Arabidopsis thaliana: one gene and its partner. The protein of the gene in region 2 interacts with the protein of the main gene of each other region in a pairwise test. Each region holds a gene or a part of one and is shown on either strand. Other genes may lie near its edges.

What was found.
Region 1: the proteins of AT5G57345 (region 2) and AT2G17972 interact in a protein complementation assay, tested with the Arabidopsis thaliana proteins (one large-scale study listed by BioGRID).

The regions. Positions count from the first base shown.
Region 1 is NC_003071.7:7,810,529-7,825,670, reverse strand, and holds AT2G17972 (uncharacterized protein), read right to left. Parts: upstream 4,087-15,142; 5' UTR 4,048-4,086; coding exon 3,571-4,047; 3' UTR 3,434-3,570; coding exon of another isoform or gene 3,376-3,433; 3' UTR 3,341-3,375; downstream 1-3,340. Other genes in the region: ATSLY1 (Sec1/munc18-like (SM) proteins superfamily), read right to left, coding at 1-1,119, 1,289-1,319; AT2G17975 (zinc finger (Ran-binding) family protein), read left to right, coding at 1,701-1,866, 2,297-2,565, 2,651-2,681, 2,789-2,862, 2,957-3,084, 3,193-3,273, 3,376-3,433; AT2G17970 (2-oxoglutarate (2OG) and Fe(II)-dependent oxygenase superfamily protein), read left to right, coding at 4,395-4,545, 4,813-5,406, 5,494-5,579, 5,672-5,982, 6,088-6,159, 6,246-6,555; AT2G17960 (uncharacterized protein), read left to right, coding at 12,542-12,832, 13,217-13,291; WUS (Homeodomain-like superfamily protein), read left to right, coding at 15,000-15,142.
Region 2 is NC_003076.8:23,221,711-23,237,404, forward strand, and holds AT5G57345 (uncharacterized protein), read right to left. Parts: upstream 9,040-15,694; 5' UTR 8,878-9,039; coding exon 8,720-8,877; intron 8,633-8,719; coding exon 8,462-8,632; intron 8,090-8,461; coding exon 7,852-8,089; 3' UTR 7,581-7,851; downstream 1-7,580. Other genes in the region: AT5G57340 (ras guanine nucleotide exchange factor Q-like protein), read left to right, coding at 6,312-6,605, 6,908-7,384; HA3 (H[+]-ATPase 3), read right to left, coding at 9,498-9,591, 9,661-9,842, 9,928-10,110, 10,182-10,355, 10,428-10,588, 10,669-10,750, 10,837-10,869, 10,965-11,203 and 8 more.

The DNA of each region.
Region 1 (15,142 bases), on a different chromosome or scaffold from region 2:
TGATCTGTCCTAAGAGCGCTGTTGCGATATTGGTGTGTTTGTCAATCACTTTCTTTCGCTCAGTTAACTCCGGGAGCGATTTCACAGTGTTCATGAGATGCTCGGTGTGGATGTTTCCAATCAGATCTGTCCCATCAAACTCAGCGCCGCTCCCACCTCCGGTTTTCTTGTTAACCTCTTCAACGTCTCTCTTGTACTTGTTCAACTGTGTTTCGATCTCCACAGCGACATCTGGAAACTCCAGAGTACTGTTTGCTGACCAGAATGGGTCCGAACTGTCCAGCTCAAACGATTTCGGTGGTCCTTTCTCTCCCTGCACTTTCAATTGGTTGAGCTTTAACCCGAGAACATCGTGAACGAGAGGCCGGTATCTGAAATCATGCTGAATCCCAACCGAGAGCTCAAAGTTCCTATCAAATATGCACAAGAGGGGACGCTGAAACGAGCTCATGAAACCGCCACCTTCAGTAAACAGATTGTTCTTGGACAAAAGATGATCCCTCAGTTTCTGATCCAACAAAGACGCCACCATCTCTGCAGGTCCACCACTAGGGCATCGGATAACAGGAACCACACCAAGCGTTACCAACACACAAAACAAACCACTAGCGACCCTTTCGATAATCTCATTAATCTCTTTCTCCCCTGCTGATGGGTCATTCATTTGAACATAGGTAGATTGCTGAGCCAGCGAGAACAAGTTATCTTCCAAAGTCACAAACTCCAGATACTGATCATGCACTTTCGAGACTTTCTCAACAGAACCAGATTTAAGAGTCCCAGAAGCTAGCTCTTCAAGAAACTTACGAGGGATCGAAGACGAGAAATTCAGATGAAAGGTATCGTAGAGAGATCTAGAAGCATCGGCTATGATCCTCTGGAGGTTGGATTCAGTTGGTTGAACAAAGTAGACAGCGGGAACATCATGAACAGGTTGTCGATCTTTGTCTATGAGAAAGAAGAGTGTAACTCCATGCTTACGCAGATCCTTGACATGGGTCAATGGAGATAGAATGTTCTGACAAAACCTATCGTAAATCAAGATCTTGTAAACTTCTTCGTTCGCAGTTCCACTTGGATTCAAAGGTTGGTTCAGATTCAACATCCGGATTACACATTCTGAAACCGAGAGAGAGAGAGATCAAAGATCCAATATCAATATTAACTCATAAGAAACCAGAATTCTCTAAATTTCCAGATTCCTAAAAACAAATTAATAGATCGAACACAATCTATGAAGCAATAGAAGAATCATCGCAGAAACTTGAGATTATAAAGAGATAATTACCAGTCTGTTTCTGACGGAGATTGAGAGCCATGGAAGCTTGAGATTCGGTTGGATTAGAGAGAAACCTTGTCAATTCAAAGCTATTCCTTTCTGTATCTCCCTTTGCAAAACGCAGATCCAACGATGAAAAGCAGTAGAAACAAAGAGATCTAAATCCAAAATCGATCTAGAGAAATTTCAAACCCAAAAATCACTGATGAAGATGTATGTCAGTAAGTAACGATTGCCACCTGCGAAGAGAAGGACGAAAGAGATTTTCTCTGAAGAAATTAATGGGCCTAATGGGCCTAGTCACTTCACAACAAATGTGGCCCAGCTTTAGCTTTCTTCAACTTTCTCTTTCTTTCTCCTCTCTGAACGAAAAAGAGTGAGTCGTCGTCGCCGGAGACTGGAGTTTTTCCGGGAAGAAGAAATGGGAGACGGAAGAGAAGGAGACTGGGAATGTTTAGGATGCAGAAACAGGAATTATGCGTTTAGATCATTCTGTAACAGATGCAAGCAGCCTCGTCTTATCATGGATAATAATACTTCTCCAAACTCTAAGTGGCTTCCTCGTATCGGCGATTGGATCTGCACTGGTTCGTTCTTTCTTCTCCTATCTCAATTCAATTCTTTTATAGCTTCCCAGATTGTGCTAATGAACTAGAAGCAAAACTAGGATTGATCAGAATCGTAAGTTCTGAGTTCAAATCCTTAAAACTTTCAAATGCCCTTTTCCATTTGCGGATTCATTAGATTGAATTGTGAATGAAAACTAGGATTGATCTAATTCGTAAGTTCTGAGTTCAAATCCTTCAACTTTCAAATGCCCTTTTACATTTGATGTTTCATTAGATTGGAATTGTGAATTAGGGGATTTACTTATAACTAGGTTGAGCTGTTTTGTGTATTCTGTGTTATGTGGTATATGGAATTTGCTGGTGGGTGTGTTGTGGTGTGCGTGCGTGTGTATCTTCTTCGTTCTACGTTTTGCGTTTGGGTGTGTGGTGTGGTGTGGTGTGGCAATAGGTTGTACTAACAACAATTATGCATCACGAGAAAAGTGCAAGAAATGTGGGCAATCTAAGGAAGTAGCAGCATTGTCAGCACTTGCTATCCCTGGAGCTTCTCTTCAAACTCATCTCCATTACTTCACCCGTGGACCTGAGTCACATGATCAACCTGGTTCTTTACTCGCATTCTCTAACGCTACAAATCAAGCTTCGGTTCATAAAGAATGGAGGAGTGGTGACTGGATTTGCAGATGTGGTTTTCACAATTATTCCTCTCGTATACAGGTGAGGAAATGGGTTCACAATGCAAAACCGACTTGCAGATTCCGGCTTGTTGTTTTACTCATTTCTGTTTTGTATGTCTCTGCAGTGCAAAAAGTGCAATGAAATAGCTCCACTAGGTAAGGTTTTTGTCTAAGACCGATGCGCGTGCAATCTTATATAACCCGAAGGTGTCTGATAATCCTTTCACGAGTTTTAATATGGGAAAGTTTATTTTGGGTTGCAGCCCTTGGTACAAAGAGATTAGCATCAGAAGCTTTGGCTCATGAATGGGATAGCAAAAGACTGAATCAAGGATATGTAAGGATTAGTTAGAGCGCATAAATTGATTAGTACATTCATCAATTTTACTTGCTGCTTAACCAACCTCTGTTTCTTCTGGCTCGTTGTGCAGACAAGCATGCAAACACAGTCAGCGATATATGCATCTTTTCCTGGTATGAGCCTAGGAAGGGTCTCAAATTGGCAACTTCCTCTCCCGTTTCTACAACAACACTCAACACCTGCTTTACTTGGAATGGGGTACTGTATTGATCTCTGGTCTCCATTGTTTTCTTGTTTTCTAAACGCTAGAACAATGGCGTGATCTTTTGCAACCTTCCCAATTCTTTGTGTTGTCTGATTTCTTAGAGTGAAACAATGGCGTGATGGCGACTGGATGTGTACAAATTGCAAGAATCACAATTATGCATCACGAGCAGAGTGCAATAGGTGAGTTTTAATCTAGTTTTTTCAGTTAATAATTCTGATTCTTTGCATTGAGTTAAGGTAAACAAAAAGCCGAAGAAAAAAATATTTTCTTTTCCATGTCAGGTGCAAGACTACACGAGATATCCTTGATCAGGACATAACTCCAACAGAACAATCTTGAAAATTCATGAAGAGTGTTGTTCTCTTGTGTATCTTAATCTAGTGAGACATGGCTACACATTACTCGAAACTAACTTGAATATATAAGCCTCAAAATGTTTTGGAACAGAGAATGCAGACACAGCTACAAAGCATTTCTTAACCCTTTAAGATGTTCTTAGGATCAAGAGGCGGTGTATCGAGTTGATAAAGATTAAACGCCGGTCCAACAAACCGGAAAAAAATCCAACCTCCAATGACAATGTATATCGACGCGTAAGCCAATTTGTTTAGCCAAAACAACAAACCTTTCTCTCCAACATAAAGCTCCAATGCCTTCTCATTCAATGTCATCTCTTCCCATGGCTTTTGAACAGTCTCTTTTTTCTTCCCGCTTTGTCCTCCTCCTTCTCCTGAACCCTCTTCCCTCATTTTCCTTCTGGATCCTCTTTTGAATCTTATCTCCACTCCATCCAACGGCTGAGTAATCTTCTCTTCATCACCGCCACTGTTTACGCAGTTTATCGATAGAGTTCTTCTGTTGCTACGATGCAACTGGAACTTGGTTTTTGTATAAGATTGTTGCTTCAGATTGATAATCGTTGAATTGGGAGCTAAAAAGTGGAGACTTTTCATTTTTGTTGTTGTTTTTAAGATTTTGAAGCTATGATGAATGAAGGAAGAAACGATTTTGCAAAAAGATAAGCTTCTTCATCTTCCACCGTTAAAATCCTCTGACCCAATTATGTCTCGACAGGTGGCGTTTCGAAATTAATGGGCTTTTAAGAATTTTAAACGGCCCAAGAGCTTTAATTGGCTGCTTAAATACCGATATTACCCTTGTTTGGTTAATACTAGAATTTACAAGTGTACCGTCACAGAATCCACACTGACAAAAGAGTACTAGATTTCAAATCGTGGACTAGGAAATTTGAATTTTCTGTAACAAGAGTACTAGATTTGGATTGTATCGAGCGTATCTCATGGAAAACGATCCATTTCTCCGGCAGTACCAGCCGTCGGAGCTTAAGATCGCTTCGGAGTTTCTGACGAATTGGCTTCCTTTTTTATCTAAAGATCTATGCAAGGATTGTAATCACCTTCTCTCCAATCGAATCCGTTCTCTTGACCCAGGTAACGATTCTCAACTTTTTCTTAGAGGCGAGAGACTTTCTGGTTTCTATGGATATTGAAATTCTGTATAGAAAGCGGAGATTTTCTTCATTATTGTACTTGATTCTGCTTTTTTGATTGATGTTCTGCTAAATGATAAGGTTACAAAATTAGGGTTTGGTAATTGGAACAAATAGGAGGCGAGAGAGTAGCAAGTACGTTTCTAAATTTGTGAATTAAGTTATGATGTGGAGTTGCTTATGAGAAATCATGTTTCCATATGTGTAGCACATTGTAGTAACAACACTGACAAAGTTGATGGAGAGTGTAAAACTGGTTCTTGTTCAGTGGTGGAAAATATGGGATCAGAAAGAGCTAGTAACAATGTGGATGATAATTATGATGAGAAGTCGGAAAATGGCGAAGACTGTGATAATCATTCGTTAGGTAGTTGGAAGGGAAGTGAAATTGTATTTGGTTCCTTTCCTGAAGATTTTAGTAGTGTATTGCAATCTAGACCAGCTGTTGTTGAAACAGCAAGCCCTCGTATGCGTTGGGCTGATATGGCACAAGAGGATGAGTTCGATGAGGAGGAGGAGGAGGAGGAAGAGGAGAGGGATTCGAGTAGGAAAGGTTTTGATGCGAGTTCGATGAAGACTCCAGAGAAGCCTAAGTTGTCTAGAGATCAGAGAGAGAATCTCAGGCTGATTAATGTGAAGAGAAAGAAAGACTTTATTTGCTTGGAGAGAGTTAAGGGAAAGATTGTTAACGTGCTTGATGGACTTGAGTTGCACACTGGTGTTTTTAGCGCAGTGGAGCAGAAACGGATTGTTGATCAAGTGTATCAACTTCAAGAGAAGGGACGAAGAGGAGAACTTAAAAGTAACTTCTTGTTTTGATCTGAAAATGCTCTTATCTTAACTTGTGACCTATTTTTAATCTGAATCTTGTCTTGTTCTCTCTCTGTAGAGCGTACATTTACTGCTCCACATAAGTGGATGAGAGGAAAAGGACGTGAGACTATACAATTTGGCTGTTGCTACAACTACGCTCCAGTAAGTAACGTTCTCTGTCATACTTTCATTAATCTGTTTCATTCTTAAAAAAGGAGTTAAGAGTTTTGCCTTCTTGTATTTTGGGTTGATAGGACAGAGCTGGAAACCCACCGGGTATCCTTCAACGTGAAGAAGTGGATCCACTACCTCATCTTTTCAAAGTAATCATTAGAAAGTTGATTAAATGGCATGTACTGCCTCCAACTTGTGTGCCCGATAGCTGCATTGTGAACATCTATGATGAAGGTGACTGCATACCTCCTCACATCGACAACCACGACTTTCTCCGTCCCTTCTGTACCATCTCTTTCCTCAGTGAATGCGATATCCTCTTTGGCTCAAACCTGAAAGTTGAGGGTCCTGGTGACTTCTCGGGTTCATACTCAATACCGCTTCCTGTGGGGTAAGCAAGTTCGTAAGAATTCCCAGTTTCAAAACTTTCGGCCATTCCTTGTCGAATAGTATGAAATCAAAGACTGTTTTTTTTGGATATTTTCATATTTATCAGATCAGTTCTGGTGTTAAATGGAAATGGAGCTGATGTAGCTAAGCACTGTGTACCTGCAGTTCCTACAAAAAGGTTATAAATATTGTTGCATCAATTTTCTTCTATAAACAAACATTTTTTCTCTTATGAGTATGTTTCTTCCCGGTTCTATTCAACAGGATATCAATTACATTTAGGAAAATGGATGAGTCGAAACGCCCGGTTTGGTTCACCCCAGAGCCTGATTTGCAAGGGATTGAGCCATTGCCATTGGACCTGAACCGGTCTGGTTCTACTTCAAGGTTCTCAAGATTAAACAACCATAACGGTACTAACCAAAGAGGACATGGACGTAGAGGAGGAGGCAATGGTTATGACTCAAGAGGTTACTATAATCCTGAGAGAAGCAGTGAACACAATGACTCTGGAGACTGGCCATCAAGCCAGAGAAGAGGAATGCCACGTCCTAGTAGAAGAAACTACGGTTAAATTCTTCAACTTCTGAAACTGAAATTTATAAGTTCTTTATTTAATTAACCAATTTTCCATATAAATAATTAATTTGTGCAACATATATACATAAGTCTTGAATTTTTTTTCAAACAATTATTTATGTCCGGGGTATTTTTATATCCGTTTTTGAATTTTTGACCGTATTTGTAATTATGTATATCTTACACAGTTCGATTTGTCATTTGTGTGTTTAGTGTGAATTGTTCTGTGGTTTGTTTCGCTTTACTTTTTTGTCAAATTTTCCAACTGATGTGACTAAAGAATTTCGATCTACGAGAGCATATATATATAGTAATCGATAATTGATTTGACCAAGTAACCAATTCTTCATTTATATGTTTTTGTGACTATAGTGTAAGTGTACAATTATCTTTTTCAATTTTTTTGACTGATCACAACTTATCGTATAATCAAACCTTTCGAACATGAGTGACTTATATGAATGAGGCCTTTGCTAATCTGATTTTGAAGGTGTAACTTATAAAAACAGCTCAAGAATTCTTATTTAAATAATTTACAATTTTACCGGATGTAAGACAAATTAAGGGAAAAAAATAAGAACCAAAGAAAACGAAATAATGAAAGAACACGTGGGTTTAGGGATCTAATAAGAATCTCTTTCTTAAAATCAATAGAAAGAGAGAAGAAAAAGGGTTTGGGCTCTATTGAGTATGACACTTTTATATCAATGAAAAGCGACGATGTGTTGTATATGAGATATGGAATGATCTTCTCATCTCAAATCCCTATTCGTTTTTTAACATCATCATTCTCTTTTCCACCATTCTTTCTACTTTCTAACAATGTATCCTACCTTTTTTCTTCTTCTTGGTACATACTCTATTACTTTTACTTTCTTTTTTTTTGTATTTCAAAAACCATGCATCTTCTAAACAATGTTATCGGTTGAGTTAAGTTTCCGAAATTACATTACCGCCACTATTATATTTTTCTAACTTTGGTATACAATATAGATGATTAATCATTTTATGCAAGGTTTAGTGATCAATCATTTTGTTAAAAACATTATCTAAAAATTAGAATTGTCAAATCATGTTTTGTTATGCAATGTGATCATGAATTTCGTGGATTTTCAAGTTTTAATTTTCTTGCTTGGATATATAGTATAGATATAGAGAACTCTCAAAATAATTATGACTCTTAAACTCATCTTATGACACTGCGATTAAGATTTAAGACACAGTCAGCATGCTTTTGAACTTATTAGGGAACCCCTACTACATAGTACATGATTTTCCTTGTCTGATTTTGAAACTTGTCTCAAGTTTTATAGATACAAAAACAAAGAATGAAAAAGTTCAAGAAGCCAAGATTAATTATTATATGTTGGGTTGATAGGGGAGTGAGAGAAGAGAGCGATGAAAAAATGATTACCCGTAAGAAAAGGAAAGCAAAAAAAAGCAGCTTTGATGTGTTGTTGTTGATTTGGATAAAAGAGATGTGTGTGTGTGTGTATGTGCATACAAAACACCTTTTCATATTAGCCCATCAACATGTATTGATCTGTCTTCTGTTGAATTGATCTTGACCATTTATCATTCCAAATAACGACCCCTGATTTTTTGTTAAAGTTGTGTTATATATTTATTTTTTATAGAAGAACTTTGTAACATTTTCTGAACGTTTTGGTCCTTCGGAAAAACACTCACCTAAAACCCTATTTCTTACAAATATGTTTTCGAATAGTATTGATCTTTTAAAAATAACGAATTGACACAGTCTTTAAACAAACATTCTTTCCCCACGGCCAAGGGACAAACTAGTTTTTAATAAAAGAAAACATGTACATTTTTCTCTTAATTGATTTAGTAGAATCCTCCAAATCAAATTAAGTATTAATGCTTATAAAAAGAGATTAATCATTAATGAAGTGAAAACAAATCTCTCTCCTCGTTTTTTCATCTTTATCTCAGTCGAAGCAATGATAACTCTTCTCTAACTTTCTAGGAAACTAACACTTTGCTTTTTCTTTCACTCTTCTTATCCTATTCATTCTTAGAAAAAATGTACATGCACGAGCACGACGTAATATAATAATCATATTAATCACCCTTTTCTAAAATATGTAAAATCAAAATTCTGTGTTTCAAGTTTCGAGTTATTCATTTTCCCAAATTTTTAATTACTTTATCCAAAAAACAATTGTATTAAATCTTCGTTTAATTGGTATAAATCATTAGTTTTGTGTACATATTGGTTGCAAAATCACTAGTGGTAGTGGATATATATTTCTTATAGCAAAATTATAAGAGTATGTGGTTTAAATTGGTAGTTCACATCATCACACTATTAAATGGTTGGAGTATCAATGGAATGGAAAAACGACATCACTATTAAATGGTTAAAAATATATGCAGAATTGATACGAAAGACAATTCTACGGTTGCAAATTACTAATATATAGGACAGATTTTGAGTCTTCAAGAGGTAGAGAACGTCATGTGCGTTGAATATTCTATGCAATTTTCTCACACCGTATAATCAATAAATCGACAGTGAGAGAGAGATAGAGAGAAGTAATAAATGTCACAACCACCAATGTAACTGGTGCAGTTGTAGGTGAAAGGTACATCTTCTATCCAAAATAAGAAGCTTACAACAAGAGACATTTCCCGTTTATATGATGTAATATTCCATCTTTTAAACCATATGTAACGGCTTTAAAGCATGTATATTTACACTCATATTTAAATATGCATGCATAAGCATGTCATGATTGTTTCATCCATCTTCACGTACGGTGTGTGTGTTTGAATGAAGATAGGTGATGATGATGAAGATGTGTGTGTTGATGATGATGATACTAATTCTCATGAATTCACTTCATTTATTGTTTGCATTGCATTTACGTTATCGAAGGGCGTGCTCTTTCTTCGACAATGAAATTCCTTCTGCACCACTCTTACTCTCTCGATCTCTCTCCTCTCTCTCACTATATATTAGTATTAAATTAAATCATGGTGTAACAAAATGAAATTAAGTCATGCATAGAAATAAAATAAAGTAAATTAAATAGTGAAAGAATTGTTGTTTTAATTTCAATAAACTCTAGAATAATTATCCAAGCAAAAGTTATTATTATAATAATACCAAAGTATTGATTTTAACAGAAAATTATATGGCAGATTTGATTTTAGGTTTATTCACCTAGCTAGGTTTCAAAAATCAAAAGGAGCTTTGTAACTAAAACAGTATGTTTGTTAGTTCAATAGGTAGTTGGCAAAAATAATGAGATATAGTTTATCATATTAAAAATATTTTAACATACACAGATTCTTCACACAAGAAAACATACAAAGACTAAAAGTAGAAATTTAGTTGAAATCCTCAATAAACAATTTTCACTTTCCTATGGTATTTAATGTAATTAATTATTATTTTTGTTAACTTTAAGAAACAGCCCAACCAGATTAGTAACAACTTTTGAGGTTAGAGCAAGAGGAATGTTTTATATAAGAGTCAGAACAAGAATTTATAACATGGGATTTGATCATTTGAACATGGAAATGTCTTGTCAATTTGCACGTATATATGTTTATTTTAATATAAAATCTGTTTTGTTAATTACGTTAGTAACATGTATATATGTACATAATATAGTATAAACTCTATAAATTAATACTCGATAAATTAATAAATTTTGTCGGTCCTAAATTGGGGCAATGTAAAAATTAATCAAAATCGATAAGATAATAAGATAATAATTTTTTTGAAATCCCTATGTAAAATTATAGTCCCAATAATATTATAAATTAATAATCATAAATCTTAAGTATATATCTTAAGACTAATTTTTATATGAAATTTTTGTTCAAGCTACAATTACAACTCTTTTTAAAATATAACTGGTATGATCTCTGTTGTACTCACATAACTATTTGCGCATTTGATCTATCGTAGTTGATTTTGTAAAATCTTTTATTTGAGAAAGCATGGCTAAGATTTATGTAAAGAGAAATTGGATTAAGCTTCATGTTTACGTTTACGTTCACGTTAATGTCGTAGATATACAGACATAATATCTTGCCGAAAAATAAATTAAAGAAGTAAATAAAAAAAACCTAACAGAATTATATATGCAAACAACAAAGCATATAGAAAAGTAAATTAAGAAACATTTTAAAAAGAATATAGTATTGTATTTTACATAAATATTTCTATAAATTAATATTCATTAACTTATACAATAAATTAATATTAATTTATAGGATAAATTAATATCACTATAAATTGATAAAATTTCATGGTCCCAACATTATTAATTTATAAAGTTTCTACTGTAGTTTTAATTCATGTGCATAGTAGTTTATAGTTTCTACTTCTTCTTAAAGAATTTCAATAAAATAGTTATATAAATCTCAGATATCATTAGTATTTATATCCTACTATATTATTTGGGAAGTACATTTTAAATCTAACCTTAATTTTTGTAATTAATTACATGACAATGCCATTAAAAAAAATTAATCAAAAGAAAATTTTTTAATAACGTCATTAAGGTTACCAAAATCATTTAACGACAATATTTATCTCTTAATTATAGGGCTTATTGGATCTAAAGACGGGTCATTAAAGATTTTCTAAACTGAAGCAAAATATACCGAATATTCAAATATCTATCTGTTACCAAATTATAAACAAATAAGTTCATATTTAATTTTTTATATACGAAATCAATTAAATCTTAATCACATAAAAATTAACACAAAAAAAAGTATTCAACAATTAAAAAATTATCAAATCTCTGTGTTATAGAAGTTTTTATACTATATTCGAATAAAGTGTAATATACCTTTTCAATTTGTATTCTTTAACTAATTTAAGCTAACTAATATATTTGCTAATCTTATACCTATCAAAACCGACTATCTTTTCTTATCTTTATAGTATTTTTGCAAGACTTTTAGGTGGATTTGGGTTAAAGTGCATTCGGGTCATATGGTACATTCCTTATTAAATAAATATGGTGCACTCCTATGTTATTAGCTAAAATGTTTAGATTATAATTTAGAGTCATATCATAAATAAAATTAATATTAATAAAATAAATGGCTTTTTGGCAAGACGGATCTGGAGGGACGGGTTTTTGAATCAACATTAATAAAAAAGTAAAATATAATTAATCCACCGTTTCAATACGGGTTAAATCTTTAATCTTTTTTTTTTTAAGACCACTAATATTAAACATATCAAATCATCCTAATTTAGAAAAGAGTATATAAAACTAAAAATGTTATGTGGTATGTATAATGTTACTATATATAAAATTAAAGTATAAAATATAAATGTATTAGAGAATGATAAAATTTTCAAAACTTATATATATAATAAATAATTCTTAAATTTTAAAAATTACTACTTTAAAAAAAATCAAGGGACGGGTAAAGAAATTACAGAACGGGTTTTATTTTGGAATTGGGTTATATGGTAGATGTATTTTAATCAATATTTAGAATATTTATAAAATTTTATTAATATGTTGTTTTGATAAGAGTTAAAAACTTCAGTTTTTTAACAATTGTCTAATGTATTCGTGGTATAGTGTTACTTAATAACAATTATAAACTGTAAAATATAAATATTTTATAAAAATAAAATTAGCAAGTTTTAATATATATTACCTTTAAAAAATAAATCGTCCCGCGTTATATCGCGGGTTAAAATCTAGTCGATTTATATTTACAAGATCTTAGGTTGAAAATAACATACAAACTACCTTCGTCTATAAATTAAATATAAATTGGCATAATATCTGGAAAATTTCTTACAATCAAGTCATGACGATTGACGAATATTGAAAGCTCAAACACTAATGTTGTACGTTGATGAACTAATTAAAAATTCAATAAATGCTCTAAACATATAAACAGTGTAACGTAAGGTGTAAATAGCGAATAACATATGACAGACTGAATATAAGGCTCGGATCGTAGAGGGGACCATGTTCCAAACCCAATTTTCCCCCATTAATTTCCGGGAAACCAAAATAATAAAAGCTAATTATAAACGTTTTCATGAAATTAGGGCAAAAGTACAAACTGAAACTAATGATGCCCTAAATGAAAATGAAATCTCTGCAATAAAGAAGAGTGGCTTTAGGGGCCACGTAGACATTAGTTACAAAAGCTCTGCGTCTTTTAGCCCTCTGCCTCTTCAACAGTACTTTACGACAATGAAAAAGATCGTGATGCGTAAATTAAGATCCCCTGTTTCTCACTGCATGCTCGTTACCGTACGTACTCATAGGAGTTTATAAATCAAAGGGCCTATAGAGAGTATTCTAAGTAGCAACCACTACGTAAAGTTTTACCAAAAAAAAAAACCAGTATGTAAATGTGACCATATGTTCATGTAGTTGCTTGTGTACATCTTTTTTTTTTTTTTTAACTTCAAACTTTATGCTTTATTATAGTGAAGAAGTATAATCCTCATGGAGTGTACATCTATATATACACTGCATACGCATGTAGAGTAACAAGACATTCTTTGTTTCTTGTCAAAAGACATTCACAATCCAACTAGAGATATGATTTTATCATTTGTTAGTTAGTTTATAGTTTGGTGACTTGGTGTAATCTCCTAGTTGGATAAAAATATTGGACCGTTGATTCGATAGAAATGCCAAACGACATTACAAATCGGATATATCGATTGGATGGAATCCAAAAGTTTATCCAATATAATCGACTAAAGTTAAAAAATGAGTAATCCACCAGTCTAACTAAATACTTTCTTTACCAACAAAAATTTGGGATACAACTGAGTTTATTTAGGTGATAAAAGATTATAAGACTTAACCTTTTAACAAAAAAAATTTTTTAAGACTTCAATCCTTAGATTGTTTTCCAAATATTAATAGTTACAATAGTTAGTTTGTAAAACCTATTTTTAATTTTCCGATACTCTTTGCACGTTGTGTTGAATCCGAGAAATCATGGGGGCTATATAAACAAAACTATACTATGAAATAGCCAAGCAACTTCAGTGATCGGATCTTTGGTTTTTTATTTTAAAAAAAATAAATATTTTATCAGCCGTATCTTCAGGGCCATTCCCCATAAAAACTATAATAGCTTCTATGAAATTTGTAGATTCCTAAAAAAATCTTTATATATCTTTTATATACAATATGTGGCTGTTACGTAGAACAATAAGACTATACAAAAGTTGGGTATTGTTCCTTTTCAATTACAAAAGTCATATTCACTAAAACAAAGCCCTTCAAACTTTTTAAAAAAAATGAATAAATCACGCATTTATACAAAAAGATCCATCCATGCTCCTATAAATTCGAGCATATAATTAACTAAAGAATACTCAACATGTTCATAAGTACACCTGTCTTCACACTCGTTTCACACATTGTAATTGACATAAATTTTAATATCTTTTAAAGCAAAGCATAAGTAAAATTATATAGAGTATTTCTTCAACACATTTCCGGACGATATCACCACGAAAAATATCCTATATCACCTATGTGTCATGACTCATGACCATAAGGAAGGAAAAATGTATTTTTATGATCAAACGGTTTTCACTTTTTTTATTATTCATTCTAGAAAAAAATTATAATCGTTTTCTTTCATTCCTACGATACAATAATTCATAACGATCTTTTAGAATTTTTGTTTTGTTTTCTGTGTGTATGGGTAAATATCTTTCATACGTAGACAGATACATAACAATTAAAGCTGGTGAAGTAATAATTGTGAAGAGACAGAGAAATTGAAAAAAGAGAGTTTGTTTTTCGTCTAAGTAAATACCGATGATGCCCTCACCTTTCTAATTCCCTCCTTTGTCCCTTTCCATTTTCATGTTTATTTCTAACTTCTCTGTCCCTTTCAATCCTTCTCCACCAGATATCCTCTGATTCGATCCCCCACAAATTTTTTCATAAAAATTATTATTATTCTCACTAAAACTCTCAAGAGTAGTTTCGATTTTTCCTCTGAATAAAAAAAAATCAAATAATATATTTGACAAGAGAATTTCCTTCCTAAACATAACATTTTATTTGAATGTTAATTCAATTGATTATTTTTCTTTCTTATATCCTTTTCTTTGGCAAAATTTATTTCTTATATCCAAGCACATTTTTCAATAGGGTTTTGTATGTATGAAATCATATCTACATGCATAAAAGAATAATATAGTGAATAACTGATTTTCTAGAATATTGTAAAACCTTCTTTTTGGGTCCCCATTTATATATATAACTCAATACCTTACTATCTCTCTATATATATATAATCTTCTCTCTCACACAAAACCTAAAATCTCTTTACTACCAGCAAGTTGTTTTCTTGCTAACTTCAAACTTCTCTTTCTCTTGTTCCTCTCTAAGTCTTGATCTTATTTACCGTTAACTTTGTGAACAAAAGTCGAATCAAACACACATGGAGCCGCCACAGCATCAGCATCATCATCATCAAGCCGACCAAGAAAGCGGCAACAACAACAACAACAAGTCCGGCTCTGGTGGTTACACGTGTCGCCAGACCAGCACGAGGTGGACACCGACGACGGAGCAAATCAAAAT
Region 2 (15,694 bases):
TTTCATTGGTTACAAAGTCATATTCTGAATGCGATTCATTGTATGTGGGAGCTGAACTTGTCCTTAGTTGAAGTATTATAAAAAAAAATAAAGAAACAAATATTAAATCATCTCGATAGTACTCATCATCTATATTTATATCATCCAAATTTGGTTAATTTGTCTTAAGATCAAACTGGGATGAAACTTAAGGTTTTTCTACTAGTAAAATTAGAAAATAAAATTAATCTTTAAAATAAACAAATGAAAAATCATGTCGTGTAACTATCATATATAAACAAATAGTCTTTAAGTTTTCTTCCTGAATTGTACATTCAAGTTTTATTTTCGACTATACTATATATATAAAGAAAGTAACATAAATAATCTATGAAAGCAGAAAGTATCTAGTAGCTAGTGAAGATAAGCTAAAGCTAGTCTAATAGTTGAGTGACAAGTGGAGAAACCACATTTGACAAAATAACCCACATGACGAAGCCCCACTTTTATTGTCCAGATATCTGACACGTGTTTTGTTGGACCCACAAATCGCTTGAGAAAACCTTAATGATGTCGTAATTATCTGAATATTTTTATTTATTTATTTTCAGCTTAAAAAATATAATTTATTCATTTTACTTGATGTTTAGCTTTTGTTAACTTGAGTGAATATGACAACTTTCGGTCCGATCTTATTCTTCAGCGGAATCATATAAATATTAATACCACCCCAATTGACTGGTTAACTTCTTTTACCACACAAATCCTCCCAATTTTTCAATCTAATCTTTATACAAGTATAATTACTTATTAATACAAAACATAAACTAATTTACAAAGCCTAGTATTAACACGAGTGTAGTGATAGAGTAGTAATCGACACAGAATATAGTTCGATTTCTTTGCAAACAAACTCGTTGCATGTTGCGTTATTTGGATTTTGATCTTTTGTGTCATTGTGTGGTATCTATTATATTATCTAATATTGATGACCGGATATCGGATACTAATAAAATTATAGTTACAGTTATTTATTTTAATTTTTTAAGGAAATATATAGATAAAATATACAAGATTATAGGTATATTATATAGATTATGCTGTTCATAATTCATAAGTTCGTTATGTAAATAATATGCAAAATAAAAAAATAAAAATGTGGATGTGTCATGTGTGTATAGTCACTATAGTGGGGTAGGAATTAGGACCCAGAATGTACGTTAGAAAGGCTACAACGCGTGCTTACTCTTTTTCTTATTATTATTACAAAATTTAATCCCAAATCTATCTCTCTCTCTCTCTTTGCTTCCACATGCCGTCACTTCACTTTTATTAACTCCCTTATTAACAATATTCACATCATATCATAATATATGACCAAATCACCACTTGTTTTCACTGTTTTTTACTTTAGCGATAAGTTTCATGAATTATCATCATTATTCTCACATAACATGATTTTTAGTTAGGAGATCATAAAGTCATTATATGATTCAAATATCTTTACTTTACTAGTGATATCAAAGAAAATGTTATTAAATCAGGTTAATTCAAATGCGTTTTTGTTGTGAGCTACTTCATGTTTTGAAGAAATCAAATATTTTTAAATGATTTCCATTTTTTTAATAGTTAATTGTTTAGGTATAACAACAATTAAAAAATGTCATTCATATTACGACCAAACAAATTTGTTATTCATATATATATCACCCATGTCTTTTGTTATTGGTCTGTTCTTTTAATATTGTCTAATATGCGGCGGACAAAACTGATATGATTTTCTCTGATTCTTTCTCTTTTCATTAAATTTCACGTAATACAATCAAAAATTATTAGGTAAAGCTATATAAATGTATTATTTAACAAACCAAAAAGCTAAAAAGGAGGTAAGAATAATAATAATTATATACAGGGTATAAAAACATTTATCTCAATCGCATATTAAAATATCTACATACAAAACTTTGTAAGTATGGGTCGATATATGACCATGTATACACAGAATCAACAGACAATAATTCATGTGATGTACTACTATTCGAAATTTAAATGTTGACCTGCACATTCAAACTTTGGAACTCTAAATAAATCTGATTTCATTATATTTAAGCAAAGCAATTATCGTGTGTCGGTAATTACTGCTAAGTACTTGTACTTGATATCATATAATGTTTGGTTTCGAGTTTAGGATATAATTAATTATTCGAAATGACTCTTTCTCGTTTCCTTCTTGCTTCTCGTTTCACATGGCTCCGCCTAATCCAGCCAGCTCTTTTTTCTCTACAATAATTAGACTAAATCGTTTTCTTACAATTACAAATTTAATAAGATACGCATGCATCCGCGGAAGGAATCATTTCATTTTTCTATTACAAAAATATTGACCGCAGATCAATACTAAATCGTTTTCTTAATTGTTTGATTGTTTAATATTAACATACACTAATCTTTTTGGGATCTGGATTTAAGGACGGTAATAGCAAACCACGATCGATGAGATGTGTTTCTTAATGCACCGGCAATTAGTTGAAAGATTGGTGAGATCTATGAACTCCAAAATAAAATATTAGTATATACTTCACTTATCCCATATCTATTGATTAGATTCACTGAAAACACATTTCTATCGTTACAGTTTTAGCGATAGATTATGTATTGATGAACTTTAGACAAAATTATAAGTTCTTTCGTTGCAACATATTCGGTACTTTATGATAGAAGACTTTTTATCAAGACTAAGATTTTCTGTCCTTTTTTTTTTTTTTCTCTGTCTAAAATCTAAAAAATTACGATAAGTCGGTGCCTAATTCATTACCTGCAGTTAAACTGGTGATAGAATTAATTTGATACAATTATCTTTAAGTGATTAGTGAAATTAAAGAGTAATATAACCACATTTAGGTCCAATAATTCAAGTATAATTACGATAAGTCGGTGCGTAATCGAAGCCCCATGTTAGCACGAGATTTCTTTGAGAGGAGAAAACGAAACAAGTAGAAGACAAGCAACATTAAAGTATAGAAAAAAATATCTTTTAGTTAATTAGTACTATTATAAAACTTAAAACCACTTAAATCATGTGCTGATAATTTGTTTTTAGAGGGTTATTTAATTTGGAATCTTATGAACAAACTTAAATTCTATTTCTAGGGTTTTGTTATGGATCCTCTTTGTCATTGGCCATGGAATTATTATTTAAGTGATGCATGACTTGTAGATCACTGTTATTAGGTAATCTAAGGGTTTTCATCGGTTAACGATCGGTCTTGAATTATACATTACGTGCATATTTTTGTGGACGAAATTTTTTATTACCAACCTAAACGTATTTGGTGTTACCAATTCAAAATAATGTCAAAAGTCTTAACGAATAATTCATTCACATGTCAGGTAAATTCATTTCAACACTAGACTAACATATACTATGAATCTAGGTTTTAGAATCTCCGAAAATATCAACCAATTAATGTTACAGAAAAATTGAAGACATGAAAAAGAAAATTTAATAATTGTTAAAACTGCTAACAAGTGATATGCTATAAGAGGATCTATCTCATTAAACTTGGTGTCAGATAAAAATGATAATCATGGGATATTTTGGGAATGGTTGGATAATACCAGTACGGATGTCGATGATGGAGAATATGTACGTTAAAATATACAAATTGATAAAAGAATTTATAGAAAAGGGAATCATTTGAATTTCTAAAAGTAATACAGAAAACAAATCGCCATTTTTTTCTTACAGACACAAAAGATACAAGCTTTGTCTTCAATTGGTAGTTAATATAATATTTATTTGTTTTTTTATATGGTTACATGCATATCTTGATCATGTCCAGTGAGGACTTGTCTTGAATATATTGGCTAAAAATAACATTTTCTGTATTATTTTATTGTTCATCATTTGTCCAAATCCTCTTGATCTTCTCGATTTAATATTATATCAACACACCCAATTATTTCAAACCCCCACTTATATGTATAAACCAAAAATTATACATAATATACAAAATCTACTTCCATAAGACTTAGGATTCTATATTTTATCAGTAACACTTAATATGTAAATTCTTGAACATATTAATATATCAATCTTTTGAGTTAATACTACAGCATGGTAAGATACTAAGATCTTTTCTTTTACTATTTCATATAGTGGCATTTATATTAATGATTTTTTTTTAAAAACATCACCTTCTCAGAGAATAAAGGACTCTCAAGTAAGAGATTAAAATATTACATACTAGTAAATCCACAAGAATTATATAAAATTAGCTATTGTTTTGTCTGTCTGTTAGAGAGAGAACAATTAGATGGACATACAAAGCTAATTTAGCATATGAAAACCTCTCAGCTTTTTCCTTGCCTCCTTCCTTCACAAATATCACAGCCTGTCAAAATTAGCCTTTAAGAACTATTTAACTTCCATCACTATATATTATTTGTTTATTAATCCTTTTTAATTTAAGCATTTCCTTAGCTGTGAATACCCCATTATCCCTCTCTCCTTCTCTTTCCTTTCTCTCTGAATATCTCTCTATCTCTTCTTCCACACAGCTTTAGTCCTATATTTGATTGTTGACAAAACAAAGCCTATAGTAATCTCTCAGCTATTGGATTATGCTTTGAAGCTAAATTGGTAAAGAAGCATATAGTAAGGTAAGTGTGCGTCTTGAAGAATTTCTCTTAAGTGAGTTTTGTGGCATGAGTATAGAACATGTGATCAATGAGCTTCTTTGGAGAAAATCACAGCTTGACCACTCTTCTTTTCAGGTAATTTATATAGAATTTCTTTATATGTATTCGTGTATATATGTCCATAAACAGATTCCGGATATTGCTGGTGCTTTCTATTTAGATAGATATATTTTCTATATATGTATGTGTGTGACTGCGTATAAGGAAAAAAGTCACAAATTTGGCTTTTTTCAGTTGATTGAAATTTTAATACCTCAAGTGTATAGAGAGAGCTAAAATAATTTTTTGATAGCGAAATAGATATTTTGTCTAGAAATATACACACATACATTAGGAAAAAAAAAAGAACGTTTTCTTTTAACCAATTTTATTGTCCTTGTCTTATCCTATTGGGTATCTAATTTGGTTCTCTACAATTATAGCTAAATAGACATGATCTTTTCATGTCTTTGTGTACTTGTGAGCGTGTGTATAATAGATACGTAAGTACATGTGTCACATATATTTATATTTATTTATTTATATGTTTTAGAAAAAAAGATAGGAAACAAGTATAAGTGGAAATTTAGGTGATATAGTCCTCTCCGCATGAATGCGAAAACATAATGAACGATGTGACCAATTTATATACATTATGTAATTAATTCCAATTTTAATAGAAAAGAAACTTAGGTGATACAGTCTTCCTCGCATGATCATCAATTTACACTAAATAGTTAAAATTCCTATTTGTTGACTTTAAATTGACTGCTCGACCAGTGTTTGTTGTTGCTTTTTTCCATGTCTCTATGACTCTATCTTATTATGTTAATCATTCTCATATCTTTAACTTTAACCCACAAAAAAAAAATCATTCTCAAATTCTAAATAAGTCATGCTTATCCATAGAAAAGGAAACAAAATCGACAACTTGTTTTTTTTCCAACCTTCACCACATATTTTATATTTCTTGCAATTTTACAACTCAAATCATTCTATTTTAAACTTTAGTAGAGAAAATGATATTATTGTACTATACCGCATCAATTATTTCACTGATTTGAAAATAAAGTATTATTTCCGAATGCTTACTGCAGAAGATATCCTATCTAAGTATTTTTACATCAATATTTTACTATAACACAAGAGATAATTTAGATATTTTGAATTGGTTATGAATGTGGATAAATTCAAATAGAAAAGCTTTGTAATGTTATCTTACTAAAACAAGCCGTGTCTAGTGTTGTCATGCTTGGCTCTACTTCGATTTGATCTGACTAATTAGCTAATTGAAAATAATTAATCATCTTCCATCTCTATGATTAATAACAATAATAAAGAAATAAAATCATAAATCCAACAATTTGTGGTCTAACTAGTTCTATCCATTGATTTAGTGAACATAAAGACATTTGATTCGATTTAAAAAAAAAAAAAATACTTGGCTTTAAGACAAAACACCATGAGATAGAGAATCTAATCAAATTCAAAAGTGTGTCCCACTAGTCAACCTTCTTTTGTCTATAAACCCCTCACTTCACGAACTAGTGGCTTCTGACGATTACTCCATCAATTTCATACTCACATGTATACATACACATACACACAACACTCACTCACATATACAATTTAAGTAGAGTTAGGGTTTTCTAATGTGTTTCATCACTCATCAAATGGTTATGAAACTATATGACTACGTTTCAGGCATGGGAACAAAGATCGTTGAGCGAATTACTACAAACCAAAGTGGCTTAAAGAGTGTTGATCATAGTGGGTTCATCAGATTTGTTGTTAATGGTCGACAAGAATCGTCAAAGGAGACGTTGACAGACGAGGAAGAAGAAGGAGTTTTTATTTTAAGGTCAATGGATAGGTTTCTTGAAAAGCAAAATGCTGAATCCATCAGACATACAATGCAAGCCCAAGAAGATATTTTTAAGCAACAGGTACGTTATACTTGCATATATATATATATATATATATTCATCATCATATGGATTTGGTCTTTCAAACAGGAAATATTTAAATTTATGCTTTCCTTCGAGCCTAATTACATTTTAAGCAGCTTGTCGGTTTTTGAAAAGGATGATATATCAGTTTAACGAATTAAGAAATGAATGATTTAGTTAGTTTTTTTCAATCGGTTGTCTTTTACTTTAGTTTAGATTCTTGGACCGATTCAGGTTATCCATAGCAAATTAGCTTTAAATTAATAATTATCCATAGCATAACAAAGTGATAATCGCAGGTACGAGAGCTACATAGAGTATATAATACACAGAAAATGATGATGACTCAACTCAAACATAGAAGCCAATATTGGACTGTTAACAACAAAGACCAACCCGGTTCAAGAGAGAGAACCGGAAGTTGTTCAGGCATAGACCTCGAAAATGTGGTTAGAGCAACACAAACGACGACGGATCATATCGAAGAGAGCGAACTCGAATTGACATTGAGCATTGGATTGTCTTCTTCATCTACTACTATGACCACGACAACGAACAAGGACATGGACTACTCGTCAACAACGTCAATGAGATCATCATCGGATAATTGTAATAATCAGAGCAATAATAATCTATATAATAACAGCAATAATAACCAAGAAAGTAGCGGACCAAACACGCCTATGAGCAGCTCAAGTACGACGTCGTTGGATCGAGAGAAGAAGAGACCTCATTGGCTCTTTCAAGGACTTAGTATTAACCGAACCTCTTCTTGATTTTTGTTAATTCACTGACTCTTTCTTTTTTCTTCTTCGTCTTCTTCTTGATTTTTTTATTTTCTTTTTGTATCTGATTTATCGTTATTATTATTTACGAGATTTACTGATTTCACTTTTAGCTAGGTCTAATTATTCTTCTTCGTTAACACTGATAAACCATTGACAAAATATACCAATGTTTTCTTTATATTTGGTTGCTTAAAGAATTTATTTTCACTTGCTTTCGGAGACCAATGAGGTCATACACTAGAACCTAAAATATAAAGAATGAAGGAAAAACAGAGAAAATTTGTATATAAATTTAGTATTTGGAGGTGTTTTCAAATTGCCTCTATTAACTTTAAGATGGGTCTTTAGTTACTTATTTCAAGATTTCCACATATATCCGTCTTCTTCCATCATATTTTTTTACACAAAATCGTATGTATGACTATTGTTACATAAGCCTCTCTCCGTTTTCTCCTCTAATAGTCGTCTTCGTCATCTTCATCATTTCTTGATCGGAAAAAGTTTCTAGCGACGGCTGAAGCGGCTCCAAAAAACATGAAGAGAAGTAGGAGGTCAAAGCCACCGCCAACACCTACTGCCACCGCAGGACCAGGGGCAAAAAAGGAAAACGGTGACCATCCGTAACCTCCGTAACCATATCCATAGCCACCGATCAAAGGTGGTGCAACCTGAGGATTCACGTAGATGTTGGTCCTGCGAAAACAAAGCTGCGTTTAGAATGCAAAGGTACTAACTACTAAGACTAAAGTCGTGATTATATAATGCAAACAGAAAAGCCTAATGCATTGAATCAAGTTATTAGTGTTGGTCGTTGGGGTATCTTGGATTCGAATTGTAATTATGGGGTTCAAAATATAAAGTGTAATAGAAAATTATAAGAGGCTTAAAGTTTACTAATGGGCTTTAATGTGGATATGAGGCTGCTAAAAGCCCATACATGGAGTCTCTTGTAAGAAATCTCAATTAAGGTCTTAATTTAAATATATACTTTTTTCGCCAGTATTTTAATCATATACATATTAAATAATTAAAATCGAGATTAGAGCTTCAAGTAAAAAATTTTACCTTGATCGATTGTTAATTCTGGGAGGAGGACGAGGAGCTGAAGACCGAAACGCTTGACCGCCGATTCTTCCACCGCTTTTGGCCGCAAACGCATCCCCAACACTTCCCAAAGCCAAAACGCCAACCGCTAGCGTCGCGATTGCCAACTTCGCCAGCTGATTTTCATTTTTCCTAATCAATAGATAAATAAAAGATTGAATAAGACCAAACCCGAGTTTAGAATCGGAAAAAAATTTTCTAAAGGTAAATAAAAATTACCGAGAAGAATCAGTTTCGTCGTCGTGGTGTGAAGATTTACAACAGATTGAATTAGGACGAGTGAGGTTAACATTGGATTTGGGTTTAAAACTGTGTTGGAAACTGAAATTGTTTGACAAAAAGCTTTGTCGTGAAGAAGCTATGGCGGCGAAATACATTTTTGTTTTGTTTCTGGTGATTTGGTCTAAAGCTCTTTTTTCTCTGTTAAAGATCCTTCTCGTCTTCTTGGTTTTGTTTTTGTAGCTCTGGGTTTGTGATAAAATGCTTGCCACGTGGATTATAACTAGTGGCCTACTCAAGAACACACATGTATTCCACGGATTAATGATATCCACGGATCAAATCGGTCTGACGAAATTAATCGAACCGGTTATTCATCTAACCGGACCTAAATCTGCTTTTGGTTTAATTAGAAGATATTTTAAGTAGTAAAGATGATATCATCTCATAAGAAAATTGAAAGGTGAATTTATAAATATTGTTATGTTCACATAATATCCAAAAACAATATCTATTGAACTTTTATAAAACATAAACGTATTAAACCTATGATATTAGTATCTTCTCTTTTTTATTCAAGAGAGGGGAAACAAAAACACATGGTTATAATTAAAGTCTAAAACCATGAATAAGGAAGGAAGAAAAACCCCAGGAGTTTAGAGGAACTTAACATACACAGAAAAAAAACCTTATTCTCTTGTTATAAAATCATCATCATTATCATCTCTTAAACAAAAGGATCTTCTTCTTCCTTAATCATCTTCTTGTTAAATCTTTATTAAACGGTGTAGTGACCAGCTGTCTCAATGTCTAGTCCCTTTAGCTTCACCACTGACTCTACATGTCCTTTAAGCGTATGAAGTTCCCTAAGCCTGTAAACAAAAACCCTAACGTTAACTTCTCTCACAAGAAACCGAAATTACTTTTTACAAATCATTTACCTTGCGATCTCAGCTCGTCTCTTGGCTTGATTTGCAATCTCAGACAGTTCTCTGTAACCACCTCTCTCCGGGACAACGTTGGCTGTTTCAGTGTTCTGAAGACCGTGTAAAGTCCTTTGTGCATGAGCCCATTGTGCTTCCCTCTCCTCTATTCCATAGTTTTGCTTAGTGGTAAACGCAGTCTGTTTTTTCAAAGACACAGAGAGATTTTGTTTAAGTCTTAAAATCACATTTCAGAAGAAGAACTAAGAAGAAAGCAAAACGTACCCTGTTGTCAATGATATTCTTCCAGGCTGTTCCGGCTAGTATGTAACGGATTGCGAATTTCATTATGTCTAATGGAAAGTAGAAGACAATACTGTAAAGCCAGATTACTCCAGCCCATCCCCATCCTATTCCTTTGATTCTTGCAAATTCCCAATTACCGTAAACCGCAATAGCCGTTGCAATCTACAAGGTCAAAGTTTATGAATCAATCATTCAAGAGAGTTTATAATCAATCAAGAAGATACAATGCTTACCAATTGTGCTACCCAGAAAGCAATTAGCAAGAAATATCCAGGTCGTTCTGTAAAAGACCAGCTTCTAGATCGAGTGACGAATATAAGAGCTTGGCTCACAATACTGACTTGTAAGTATAAAGCAGACATCATCTCATGTTCACTGCCTCTCAAGTCTCTCACGTGGAATGTTCTCTATAGGAAACAAACAAAGTTAATGCTTGTGTGACAAGGAATCTAAAGAGAGGTTGTTTATATGTTACATACCGGGAAGAAATCGGTTTTGTATGCGGCCCAGAAGAAAACAACAGTCATTATAGCCATGTAGCCTCCAAGAACAACGCCGGTTGCGAAGATTTCTTTGAGTTTCCAGCTATCTGGTGTTGGAGAAGGCTTGACTCTGTCCTTTGAGATAGTCATGATGGTTCCTGTTGCGTAAGTTAATGATGTGTTAGTCGATTAGAGCCAAAATTTAGAGAGAGCTTTTAAAGAGAAGAAAAAAACTCACCATCGTTTAATATAGCAATGATCAAAACCATGAATGGTGAAAAGTCGAACTTCCATATTAGAGCAATGAGCATAAACCCAAACTGTGAAAAGGCACAAAGTGAGAAATCATATAGAAAAAGAGATTATTTGATGATATTCAAGAATACATACAAGATTGATTACTTACCACTATACGAATGGTAATTGAGACTGCATATATCTGTTTAAAGGAACATTTAAAAACACCATGAGAACAAGTTATCATGGTGTAAAGATTCTAAAAAGGTTATGGTTTAAGATTAAGAGAACACTCACTGTGTAGTTCTTCATTCTCTGGAAGATGGCTCTACTGGTTAGAACCGCGCTGATGATCACACTGAGACCTGGCTCGGTGAGGACAATATCAGAAGCACCTCGTGCAGCGTCAGTTGCATCCGCCACAGCGATACCTATATCCGCTTTCTTCAATGCTGGAGCGTCATTCACTCCATCTCCAGTCATACCACAGATATGCTTCCTTTCTTGCAACTTCTTCACAATTTCGTATTTGTGCTCTGAATGAATTTGGTAAAGAAAAAAAAGAGACCAAATGTTACAGAGAGAAGAGCAAGTTTGTGTTTGTGGAAACAAAAATGGCTCTTAAACAAACCTGGGAAGACTCCAGCAAAGCCATCAGCTTTCTCAATCAAATCCTCAACAGGAATGTGAGCCATGGCTTCGTCTTTGTGTTTACCGAGTAAAGAAGAGGATGGGTACATGTTTGATCCCATTCCAAGTCTACGTCCTGTCTCTTTCGCAATAGCAAGTTGATCACCTATAAAACCATTGGAAACATTAGTAAGAAATTCGGTGTTTTCGCTATAGCGAAGAGTAATGTTTAGATATAAACCAGTAATCATCTTGACATTGACACCGAGGTCTAGAGCTCTTCTAATGGTTTCGGCACTATCATGTCTTGGAGGATCAAACAGAGGCAACACACCAACAAATTCCCATGGACTACCAGAGCTTTCTTTTGTTTTCTCTGGTACAGTCTGAAACATAGACACACAAAATTTACATTAAACTCTCTCTCTCTTTTTCCTTCTTCCTATAACTTGTTACAAAATGTAAGATTTCTTCTCACCTGTCTTGAAACAGCTAATGACCTAAGTCCACGCTCAGCGTACTTATCGATTGTAGAGTGGACTCTCTTCCTCAGATCAGCTCTCGCGTTACAGAGATCAAGAATCTGAAATCATCAAAGAATCAGTTTTTTTAAGAAGTCACAACACTTAACTTAGCTTAAGAACCAAAATCAGTTTTAGTTACCTGCTCGGGAGCTCCTTTGCTTACTCGGTGCCAGTTTCCGTTGCTGTCGATAAACGTCAAAGCGGTTCGCTTATCAACTGGATTGAATGGTAGGAAGTGAATCTCTCTGATTCCAGCTCTTGCCTGAAAGAAACAAACAATGAGAAACAGAACAGAACATTTTCTTCAAGAAACAAAACAGAGGAAAAAACAGAATTTTAAAACAGAGGAAAAAACAGAGTTATATATATTACCTCTTTTGGATCAGCGAGCATTCCAACCATAGCAGCATCAATAGCATCTTGGTTCTCAACTCTTGAAGCTCTAGCAGCAAAAAGCAAAACTTCATCTTTCTCAACGCCTTTACAATAAACCTCAATAAGATTCTTGTCAACACTAAGCTTGTTTAGCGTGAGAGTCCCGGTTTTATCGCTGCACAGAACATCCATACCAGCCATTTCTTCAATGGCGGTCATTCGTTTTGTGATAGCTCCTTGTTGAGACAACTTGTGAGATCCAATAGCCATTGTGACAGACAAGACAGTAGGCATTGCAATGGGGATACCACCAATCAAAAGAACAAGAAGATTGTCGATTCCGTCTCTGTAGTGTCTGCGCTGGATCGGATACATGACAACGATCTCAATCGCAATACCAACAGCTATGGAACATATGCAGAAGTTTCCAATCGCCGTAAGAACTTTCTGGAAATGTCCAACTTGGTTTGTGCTGTCGACTAGATGAGCCGCTTTACCGAAGAAAGTATGGACTCCAGTGGCTATCACAACCGCTTCAATCTCACCTTGCTTGCAGGTAGAACCGGAGAAAACTTCTTCCCCTGGACCTTTCGTTGCGGGAAGAGATTCTCCGGTCAAAGCAGATTGGTCGACTTTTAAAGGATCACCTTCAAGAAGACGTGCATCAGCAGGAATGATGTCACCAAGCTTGATGCTCACAATATCTCCAGGAACAAGAATAGAAGCTTCTTGCTCTGACCATTTGCCATCTCTTAGAACCTGGTCATAACAAAACAAATATTATTAAAAGCTTGTAATGAAATTATATGTAAACCAATTACTTATGCCAAACATTTTCAAGTTAGACAACTACTAGGTGCTAAGAATCTAATTATGTAACATAGTTAAACTCGCGTAATTCGTATGCCAAGTATACAGTAAACATACACGTAAATGCTAATGCAAAGAGGAGTATTTGAAGGGAGTTTATAAAGAGGGACCTTAGTTTTGGGAGCAAGACCAGCCATAAGAGCAGCAGCAGCATTTCCAGCATTGTTTTCTTCGACAAAACTGATAGTTGAATTGATAACCAAAAGACAAACGATACCGACAAAATCTTGCCAATCCGGTGGCTTTCCACCGCCATTAGCCAAGGCAATAGCCATGATTGCAGCTGCTTCCATGACCCAAGAGAGAGGGTTCCACATAAAACCCAAGAACTTGAGTAACTTGCTTTCCTATTTATTGAAACCACCATTACATAGTTAGTGACTTAGCTCATGTATGATGACTTTGATAATGGTTAAAACCAAACTATACCTTCTTCTCCTCGAGTTTGTTGGGGCCAAAGATCTGGAGTCTGTTTTCTCCTTCTGCTCCAGATAAACCTTCTCTGCTGCATTTCAACTGCTGGAACACTTCCTCAATAGGTATTTTCTCCTGCAATATAATATGAACACGATGTTAGACTAATTCAAATGGTGTTCAATAATTATGTATCTCCTACACCAATAAACAACCAAGTATGTTTTTATCTGTAGTACATCTTTTTTACAGATACAAATGTTAACCTTTTACAGTACTAAAAAAAGCAAAAAAAAAGAAAAAAATATAAGCATGCAAATTAATAGATAATCAAGATTATAATTATTTATCAAAGCATAAAAATATTAGATGACCAAAATTATGGAATGTTCTGTAGCTGTCGATGTCAGAGAATCTAAGGTGGGACCACAAGGCCTTGTACTTTAATTCGCTTATATAATAAGCCTAAAGGCCCAATAAGGCCCATTGTAACGGAAGATGTATTGATAGGGGCAAATCTGTCTATATAACATGGTATCTTAAATTGAGTCCAGAAAATCAGGTGAAGATTGAAGTTTAGTTTTATCTAGGGAAGTGATTAACCGATTGATAAGGCGATATTCCATGAGTATGAAAAATCCAAAAACGTAGTAATTGAAAACAGAATTGACTAAAACTTCTCTAAGAAATCTCAAAGTATACTCATTAAGATAGATCATGTGAAAGTAGAGAGTACTACTAATGTAATTACTTTTGCTTTATTTGGAAACAACTTTTACATAATTGTAACTAAATTTCTGGTGACTGCAAATTGTTTTAAATTAGTGCAGTTGCAAAATCTAATAAAAAAATAAATAAAGAAAAAGTAATTTTGAAAAAAAAGCAGAAAAACTGAAATAATTATGATAATATTAACACTTTTTCATGGATTCTTTTCTCATCGAAATCAAACAATAAAAATCTCATGCTAAAACATGAAGTCAATAGTTCAACGATGATGTAACGAGATTTGTGTACAACCCTAATTTGATCGAATCGTTAAGTAAAAAACAAAACCAAACTAAACTTTCCTCTCGTATATTCATTAAACAAGTTAAACAAACGAAACAAAAAAATATATACAGAGTAAAAAGAAGAAATCCATACCAAATCAACATTCTCGTTCACGATATCCTCGAGGCCACTCGCCATCTTCTCTCTGTGCCTTCGTTCAAAACCAAAAAATCGTTAAAACTTTGCACAAAACTGCGGAAGAACGAAGCAAATAAAGTAATGATAATGAAGATATATTCGAGACTTTAGAAAAAGAAGAAGAACAGAGAAAGAGATAATTCAAAGAGAAACGAACCAGATTCTTCGGAAAAAAGAGAGCAAGTGAAGGTGGACTACGTTAGGCTATTTGGTGGCTCTCTATTTATATGCCTCTCGTAACTATGCGACGTCGGTTTAGGTCACCCCATTTTTTTTATTCCCAGTCCAAGTCGAAAATATTTTATTCTGGAAAAATTATCATCTCTTTTTTTTTTTTTTTTTGTTAATTGAAGTATTATCGTCTTGTCAAGGAGGAAAGATTTAATATCATCACTTTGACTTGTTATGTCATTAAATATTAATTCATTGAGATTTCAAATTTGAGCTCTGTTAGTGAAGTTCACTGAGTAGGACAGTTTTGTCATATCATGTCCTATAGTATATCTCTCTCAATTTATTAAAAGGTTTCTTCTGTTTGTTGTCAAATAAAATTTTATTAATACAAAAGAGAAAGTCTTAATTCTACCTATGAGAAACCAACTACACCATTCAATATCATTAATTTACTATAGATATGTAATTTATCAAAAAACAAATAAATAGATTTCCTTAAAACTATTATATTATTTAATTTCTTTCAAGATTATTATGATAAACCTAAATTTAAATCATAAAATAATTTATGATTACTTTATTGAAAATTTCAGATTTTAAGCGTCTTTGATTATTTTTTTAATTACCTTGAGATCTTAAAAGATATATATTTTAGTATGACAACTTTTTACTTCCAATGATATATGGTTAAAAAAAATTAAAATATATCTAAACTGCCGTTAAAATGGTTGTTGTTGACTTGATGAAAACAGCTAACGGCGTTATTTTCTGGTAAAGGTGCTACTGTGCTAGTCATATTTTACGGTGATGGACCTGATGGTTCTGTTACTAACTTTAGTTACCATCAAT